Linked DNA regions of Rattus norvegicus. Each later gene encodes a partner of the first gene's protein in a complex. Links are inferred from orthologs where the notes say so. Each region holds a gene or a part of one and is shown on either strand. Other genes may lie near its edges.

Region 1 (4,482 bases):
AGTTCAAGGCTAGCCTGGTCTATACAATAAATTTCAGAACAGCCAGGAATATATAGAGACCCTATCTAAAAAAAAAAAAAAAAAAAAAAAAAAATCAAAAGCTAAAATCAAACCCAAACCAAAAAAGGCTAACTTTAAGAGAAGTATAAAGAGGCCCAAGACATGCATAGCTCTGTGGATAAGGCGTCTTTTCCTCAAGGCTGATGACCTGAGTTCAATCTCAGGACCCAGGAGCCATGTAAAGTTGGGGGAAGAGAGCTGACCCCACATGTGTGCTACGGCATTCATGGTCCATCCCAGTAATAACAGTAAAAATTTTAAGAAAAGTATAATGGCTGAAAGGATACAGTTCAATGGTAGCATGTGTGTCTAGGTTCAGTCACTCACAGTACCAAGATAAAAGACCCCCATAAAGTTAGATGGGAGTGGTGGCCTATTTCTATCATCTTAGCGCTCCAGGGACAGAAGCAGGAGGATCAACCGTTCTAGGTCAGGTCCATCATGGTGGCTTACACCTTTAAAGCCAGCATGAGGGAAGTCGATCTGAGTTCCACGCCAGTCAGACCTACATAGTGAGACCCTACACTTGCCTTCCCCTCAATAGTTCAGCCTGAGCCACATACACATAGCTTCCCCACCCAGAAAGAGTAGCTGTAATACATGTACGTGCAAATTATATACGATCACAGAATTCCCTCTGTGTTACTTATGAAAAGAAAGGTTTTGGGCTGGAGATTTAGCTCAGTGGTAGAGCGCTTACCTAGGAAGCGCAAGGCCCTGGGTTCGGTCCCCAGCTCCGAAAAAAAGAACCAAAAAAAAAAAAAAAAAGAAAGGTTTTTACTTTATTCATAATGAATTTGATGAATAAAAACTTTTTAAAAATATATGACTGCTTTTATTACATACATATTATCTTCCTTCCTGTTCTTTCCAGTGAATAAACATCACCCTTTTCTCCATGAGTAACCTAAGCTGACGATTTTTTTCACGGACAAACTGCAACTTATCACTTCAATCATCAAAACATTTCTTCCATATTTCTCATCCAGAAAATCCTTGGAATAAGTCTCATGTTTCTTGTAGACATGGCCTATCAACACGGACAACTGTTTCCTACTCCATTTGAAGCCTTTGTGACTACTGTACAATTATAAACTTCTGCAACTAAGCATTTTCTATATATTTTATTTGACTTTGGGCTTTACGAGTTATATCCAGTATGTTTTATTTCCTATAATTTAAATGCACTAAAACTTTCTCCTATTTTCATTACACAATTCTTAAAGTTTCTTTTTAAAAGCTGCTTTAACAGAAACTTATACTCATTCTTGTTATGTTGATTCTCAAATCTGACTATAAAGGATGAATTTTAAATAAATGATAAACAGCTGTTTTATTTATTCACCATTTAGGTCGGATTTATGACCCCTCTCTCCTCATTTCAGCTACTGTTGAATTTTGAATGAAACAACTTCAATTGTAACAGAAGAAACATCTGTTGCTTCTTTTTCTTCATCAGGGCTTTCCTAACTGAAAGAAAGGCTCTCTGCCCCTCTCCAACTCCCCCTCCCTATCCACACTGAGTTCCTTAAACTTCTTTCTTTAAATTCATTTGAAGTAAATTACTTAAAATATTGTCATAGCCATTAAAGTATTATAGCTAACAAAAACATTTATTCCCTTATTAAAGCAAAAAAAAAATGTTTTTAAAAACCCAAGATATGTGCTCCACAGAATATAAGCTGTAACCGTAACACAGACTTCAAGGGTGCACTCGAAATGATCGACTCAATCAAGCTGTTACACATTCGTGGCTCACTAAGAATTGTTAGGAATAGGATTTTCTTCACAGTATCCAGACTCTGTAGCGCTCCTTGTGTGCTGTATTTTCTTTGCCAATCCAAAGCTAACATAACGGCAGTCACCACCCCGAGAGGCAGACACCAAATGGTGCCACCCCCTCTCACACGGCGCCTCATAATAAACCATCAAGCAGTGGAATGCACCGGCTCCTTTATGAGCAAACAATGCCGGAGCTTCATTAGAATACAGCTGACATTTTCAAAGCACAAATACTTTGAAGAAAATTGTACTAGGGAAAAAAAGGAATGAAATAACTACAAAGGCTGAATTTTTTTCATGTGTCAGGTTGATTTCTAAAGATTCTGAGGAAGTATACTTCAATGTTGACAATTTAAAAGTTTTCATAAATGGAAAAATATTCAATAAGAGGAAACCTTATTTTATTTACTGGAAAAAAATGAAAGTAAAAGCTACCACTAGAATTGCTTCCACGAGGAATAACTATGAAGTACCTTTAAAATGATGGATGTCTGCAACTGCTTCTTTAACTCCTAAATAGAGAAAGCTGAATTCCAGAATTATCTCTGCATTGTAATTAATTTATATAAATAGCTGAGGATAAACTAGGATAACTACCCCTCCCCCACCCTACCCCCATGCTCTGTAGGTTTTCTATCTGTAACCAGCAAGGACGTCTTGAGATCAGCATGTTCCTGGCTACTTTTCTATTTAGCCTGGCAGCTGCTTAAGAAATAAAAACGCAGTAAAAACTCCCGGGGTTGTGAGAAACAGACTGGTCTCTCTTACCTGGTCTAAGGAAGCATGCCTCTCACTGCAGTACCAACAACACTCTACAGTCTTTGTTACCATTCAGTGGAAACTTGAGACTGTGTCAGACGTAAGCAATCGAGCTCAGACAAGCTCAACTTAAAATACTTCTCAATAAAACTAAAAAGATGCTCAAGAAAACCGGTCAAGATGTGTGCTACCACCCAAGAAAGAAAGACACATCCAAAAAAAAAACCAAAAAAACCTCAAAACCCAGTGCTAAGAAAGGAGCTTTTCTGCATGGAGCTTGGCTTTCTTGCTAAATTACAAAGGCTTCTTAAAATTAGGGGAAAAAAAAAAAAAAGCTTAAAGGTAAAAAGTGATAAAATGCCTAAATCTAAGCTATCTTTTTTCTAAATGCCATTTGAATTTTAAGTAATTTAAGAATAAAATTAACTTACTCACAAGACCTGCATAGTTGGAATTGTACATGTCCGACTGTCTGCGGGCTCCAAGGCAGTCAGTCACAAAGCAGAGGACCTTACTGCATTTTGAAAGCAGAGCAAATGCACCATGAATTTCCCAGAAAAAGGGGAGGAGAAACTCCTGAAAAACTGCTCAGAGCTTTCTGAGCTTGGTGAAACTGTCCAGCCCTTGTGGGAGGGAAGAGTCCTGTCCTGCCCCTGAGATAGGCCCTACTTCAACGCCAAAGTGATTGACAGGCTCATTTCTGATATCAACAAAGAGCAGCTGAGCTGTGCTGTTTGCCCTCCCACTTCCCACAGTTAGTCTTCAACTTTCTGGGTTGGTCCTTTTACATCTAGGGTAAGTACCTTTCTCCATTTTCTCAAGAGAGCAACAATTATTTTGACCTATTTTTAAACACTTAATTAAAGTTACATACCTAATCATCTTACTCAACTTTCCAACACAGGAAATTTAACAAAAGATGACCTTTTAAAGTTCATTTCCAAGTCTACTCTTTGCAATGTCAGATAACTATAAGATTAGCTACCAATATTAATAAACCTTTGCTGCAATAATATTACAAATAAGGCAATAAAAATAAAATTTCCAACTGGCGAGATATAAAAAAATAATAAACTAAAGCAGTTATCTGTGACTATGTAAGTTTAAAAGAAGCAATTCCATCAACAAGCATTTACTGACTACTGATCATAGCCAAGTGCTATCTTCAGGCCTGGGGATGCAGTAATAGTGAAAGCATTCAAAAGTCAAACTAAAATCCCTGTCTCCAGTGGACTTAGCACCTTGTCACGTCTCTGATCCCAGAGAGTTCCACAATCCAACATGACTAAGGTGGTCAGTCTGTCTCTTATCATACATCACCTACACTGGAAAAATTCCCCTCTGAAAGTAAGGTTTTCTTGCTTCTTTGTTGGCTTTTCTCTACTCAGAGCTGGACAGTGATTAAAGTTCAAATATAATTTACCTTGTATATTTTTTGGGACAGGCTCCTTCTTTGTAGCCCAGGCTGAACTACAACATGCAGAAATGCTATCACAGCCTCCTAAGTGTTGCAATGACAGGGTTGAGCCACCAAATGCATTTTTTAATGTATTCTTGACAACAGCTCCAGGAAGGAAAGAATTTTGTGCTTTGCTTTTATTTCTGCATTCTCAACATCTTAAACACTACATGTCTGACATTCCGATCAAGATTGACTGGAAGAGACTAGATTATTTTTTATTCTAATTTGTCTTTTGCTAACACATATTACACTAAATGCACACAGACATGTGCCAACAATGATATAGCATACGGTATGAATTAGCTCGTTTTTTAAAAATCTGAAAATACACCTGTAGAACCTCGAATCTTTTCATTCTACTATCTTAAGGTACCATGGTGTGTCTACTCACTGTACCTGGGCAATCTGTTAAAATTCAA
Region 2 (4,570 bases), on another chromosome or scaffold:
GTTAGAAAGGGCATATTCAGGCAAGTGAGATCCTCGTGAATTAAGACACTCATGGACAAACCTGACCTGAGTTCAAATCCCAGAAATATGAAAGGAGAGAACCAATTCTTTCAAGTTGTCATCTGATCACCTCTGACCTCTACATGCATCCTGTAGCATGTGTCCCCCTCACAAATAAATGAACAGAGTAATTTAAAGGGGCACATTCATTGTAACTCCAAGGAAAGCTAAGTGGGGACCCCAGGAACTTCTAATTCTCAGTATAGCATGCCATGACACAGTTTCTTGTAGGCTCCAAAAAATAAAAAAATAATCCATCACACCTTACCATAGTGTCTCACCTGCAATCTCAGCTGTCTGGCCTGCCACATCTGAGACTTCAGTGCTGCCAAGGACAGGAGTGGGGGTAGTTATCTGGGGGCTGCTTGGACGAGAGGTTTCTTGGGGATGAGCTAAGGCAGGCTTGGGCAGAGGTGGAGGTGTAGACACAGCAGGTGGGCTCTGGAGTAGATCGTCAGGGGGAGGTACGGGCACAGCCACAGGTGGTGAACTCCAGGCCTCCTTGTTCACTAGCAGGACCTCAATGGGACCACTCATGCTCTTTAAGTGAATCTGGTACTTCTTCTGACCATTGAGACCCTGGGAACAAACAGAATTGCAAGCAGGCGTAGCTCCTGCCTGACTGGCTCAGAGCCACACTGTCCTCTCCTCATCTGCCAATCCACCTAGATAACCCTAAACTCCAGGCCTCCCCTACCTGCCCCACCCAGAACTTATCAAGCTTCACAGCCAGTATCCACCCTCAGTTGACACTGCCTTGCAGGGATGAGCACCTACCTCTGGGATGGGCACCTCCAGGCTGGTGCCCGATGGGGCTCGGATAGCAAGGAGGGTATCTCCTAGAATAACAAGGAGAATGTGTCAGGGCCCATGAGCTCATTCAAGTATCTGTTCTTTTCCTGCCTTGTCTGGAGAAAGACAAGTGACCAGAGTCTCTAAGAGACTGAATATTAAGCCTCTACCATCCTAAAGCACTGGGTAAATTCTCTCCTCAAAACCTCATACTCAGTAACCAGAAAACCTCGATGCAAGCACACTTCTTTCTTTCTCCTTTTTGAGGCAGGGTATTTTTATGTAGCCTTGGCTGTCCTGGAACTTGCAAAGTAGACCAGGTTAACCTCAAACTCAAAGATCTGCCCTCCTTTGCCTCCCAAGTGCTGGGATTAAGTATACTTATATTCTGGAATGAGGTCACCAGCCACAGGTACCACCACCTCACTCCTCAAATGATGCTGATTCCTAGAAACAGATGTTCTGACCAAGTTTTTCCAAGACACAAGGAATATCTAATAAATGGTTCCTATATGCACAATGGAACTAAGTACAAATTATAAACGGACACCACCGACCCCTGCATACAAGTATGTAAGATTGTGCACACAAATCTACATGTACAAATTCTCTTTTCCTCTGTGCCACCATTATGCACAAGAACCAAACCCAGAGAACATTGCTGATGAGGGCAAACCTAGGGGACTCTTGTACCCTATGGGTCTCTAAAGAGTCCCAGTGACTTCCAAACTGAGACTTGCTGCCTGGCTTCGGAGTCGGAACTCTGAACCTTCAAGAGTCGGAACTTCTTTTTTGGGCAGTGGACCTAACACTGGGAGCTCCATGGCTTCACTCAGTCCCATCCCTGCCTCCCTCTAACCAGGCTCTGCTCACCAGCAAAGCACCTGCAGATGTCTTCATGAGTCACGTAGGCCAAGGTGTGGGGGTTAAGGAGAACAGCTGATGCCTTTACCACGCCAGATCACAGAAGAGACCCAATGCCTATGCCTATGCCTGCCACACAGCCCTCAGAGGAAATTCTGGAACCTGGGGTCCAAGTGGGTAAGGATCATGGGCTAAGACTGGAAGAGACCAGAGCCTCATGTCTGAATCTGACCAGGGGTTGCAGGCTCATTCTTTCAAGAGGTAAAGGGCCCAGAGCTCTACAGAGCAAAAGCAGCTGAGAGCCCCTTGCCCACTCTCCAGGGCAGGGTCTGCCAGAGGATATCAGCTGTTCTGGACGTCCTCTGCGACATTCCGGATGCTCTGCTGCACCCACACCTTGTGCTGGTCAAGTTCTTGCTCCCGCTGCTGTAGCTCCTCGATCTCTGCCTTGAGCTCAATCAGTTTGTCGGCAATCTCCCGGGTATTGCAACCTGGCCCGACGCCCCTGAACCACAGGAGTGAGAGACTGAGTGGGATCCTTAAGAACTCTGGGTCCCTGCCCTCTTCTCTCTCCGATGACCATCATCCCACACCCCTGACACTTCTGCCCTCCCAAACATCCCTACTCACTTCCACTGGATGCTGTTCTTGGATTTTTTCTCGATCAGACCAATACCTTCCAACACGTTGGTGATGTCGTAAATCCGCCGTTTCTGGCGTACAGCAAGAGTGTCGGCTGCCTGGCAGGTAGAAGAGAATGGAGAATGCTAGCCCCACTCCTAAGTGTGCACCCTGATTCATTTAGTTTGGAATGGGGGTAGTCTTGTTTCCCAACCCTGGAGTTCCTTCCAATTACTCCAGGAGTGTGTTGGGAAGTCTTGGGAAGAGTTGTGTTCTGATATTCTGATGCTCGTTTCCCTGTACTAGTCACGAAGGGCCACGAGGGCCAGCACCTGCAACCCGGACCTAGACAGAGATGAGGCTCAATGGCTTCAGTGAATGAAAATAACCTCCCGCCTCTCTCGTGTGAGAAAGCACACTGATGGCGGCCAGAGGACTCAGTGGGGCCGCCCCGCTGGTTCCCGCTACTGGTCCAGGCCTGGTCCACCATCTCCCCAGTCGCCCCTCCGCCCGGTCCGCACCAACTTGAGGTCAAGCACGCCGTCCTTGGCTTCCTGCAGAAGCGACACGAACTTGGTGGTGAGAAGTCCCAGACTCTTCTCGTGCCGGCTTGGAGTACCCGGGGGCGGCGGCGCCTGTGGCCCGGCCTCCGCCATCGCGCCTGCCCGCCCGCCAGCCTCCCCTCAGCCAGGCCAGGCCAGGCCGGCGGCGGCACCACTTCCGCTTCCGTTCCTAGTCGCCGGGCCACCGGAGCTATCATTGCTGCTTCCGCTTCCGTCTCGCGCCTTCCCAGGGTATCTGGTGCAATTCCTATCTGTAGATCTTGACGCAAAATTTTGGGGACCATTGACAAATGTACCATTTGCAAAGGAAACGAAAACAACTCCTCAGGACAGCTAAGAAACCTGAAAAATTGTATCGTAGGAAATGGAGGAGGTTAGTGAGCAGTAATGAAGAGGGACCACCCGAATATTCCTTGCTAACTTGCTCCCAAACTACTAACTGCCTGAACACTCCATCTAGCAAAGGGAAGCCATAAGCCACAAGCTTATCCTATTTACTTAAAACTGATCCTAAAGGCTTCTCTGCTGTTCTGAGATAATTCCTGTTGTTCCTGTCAGAACTGCAAGCACTAACAATAAATAGCTTGCTTCGGACTTCTACTATCTACTCTTATTTAGTTCCAGCATTATTTTTCTCTGGCCTCCATGCTACATACAGTTCACAGTGACCTGGAGTCTTGTTTCCAACCACTACTTAGTCCGTGCAAAGGTACTTGCCTGTGTGTGAATATGAGCAAAGCCTTTAAGGCAAGTTTCTGACATATGGGAAGAACTGTATGTTTGCAAGTCTCATTTATCTTTCGATTTTTAAAGGTTTTTATTTTTAATCATTATTTTGATGATGGTGATGGTGGTGGTGGTGGTGGTGGTGGTGGTGGTGGTGGTGGTGGTGGTGATGATGGTGTGTGTATGTGTATGTTTGGGCGCATGTGCACAGGTGCTCAGGTGCTCAGGGAGGGTTAGAAGAGGGTGTCAGATATTTGGGAGCTGGAACTAACAGGCATTTATTAGCTACCAGGTAGGTGCTAGAAATCAAAGTCCTGCAAGAGGAGCAAGTGCTCTTGATCTCTGAGCCATCTTGCCACTTGGCAAGTCTTACTTATTTTTAACATTATCACTTATGGTTATGTCTTTATGGTGGTCAGTTCCTCTTGGACACAAATTCACACTCGTAAGAGAGTAAAACAGGCAGAATTCAGAAGATCTAGTTATAATGGGGCCTGAAATTGGGGTAGTCTTCCTGAGGTATTCATGCTCAGCAAGGATACTTATAGAGGCCTTTGGATATCAATACTGACTCAGAACTTTAGCTTTTCTGGCAGCTTGGAAATGAGGGTCTATTCTGATGGGTAGATTTGGATGGTGCAACATTATCATCGTCTAGTGTCATCTGTGGCTCCCTATCACTTACAGGAACAATATAACCTTTTTTTTTAAGATTTATTTATTATATAGACTGTATTTTTTTTTTTTTTTGGTTCTTTTTTTCGGAGCTGGGGACCGAACCCAGGGCCTTGCGCTTCCTAGGTAAGCGCTCTACCACTGAGCTAAATCCCCAGCCCCCACTGTAGCTGTCTTTACACACACCAGAAGAGGGCATCAGATCTCATTACAGATGGTTGTGAGCCACCATGTGGTTGCTGGGATTTGAACTCAGGACCTCTGGAAGA

What was found. Proteins that work in one complex are often made in the same cells at the same time.
Region 2: Tfdp2 (region 1) and E2f4 share a complex: the UniProt entries of both Homo sapiens proteins name them as parts of the DRTF1/E2F transcription factor complex. The link is inferred for Rattus norvegicus from reciprocal best matches to the Homo sapiens genes TFDP2 and E2F4.

The regions. Positions count from the first base shown.
Region 1 is NC_086026.1:105,705,149-105,709,630, reverse strand, and holds the start of Tfdp2 (transcription factor Dp-2), read right to left. Parts: upstream 3,099-4,482; 5' UTR 3,064-3,098; coding exon of another isoform or gene 3,033-3,063; intron 2,739-3,032; exon of another isoform or gene 2,611-2,738; intron 2,350-2,610; exon of another isoform or gene 2,316-2,349; intron 1-2,315. UniProt on the Homo sapiens protein: Can stimulate E2F-dependent transcription.
Region 2 is NC_086037.1:50,082,844-50,087,413, reverse strand, and holds the start of E2f4 (transcription factor E2F4), read right to left. Parts: upstream 3,080-4,570; 5' UTR 2,994-3,079; coding exon 2,859-2,993; intron 2,457-2,858; coding exon 2,347-2,456; intron 2,222-2,346; coding exon 2,060-2,221; intron 1,770-2,059; coding exon 1,726-1,769; intron 900-1,725; coding exon 838-899; intron 640-837; coding exon 342-639; intron 1-341. UniProt on the Homo sapiens protein: Transcription activator that binds DNA cooperatively with DP proteins through the E2 recognition site, 5'-TTTC[CG]CGC-3' found in the promoter region of a number of genes whose products are involved in cell cycle regulation or in DNA replication.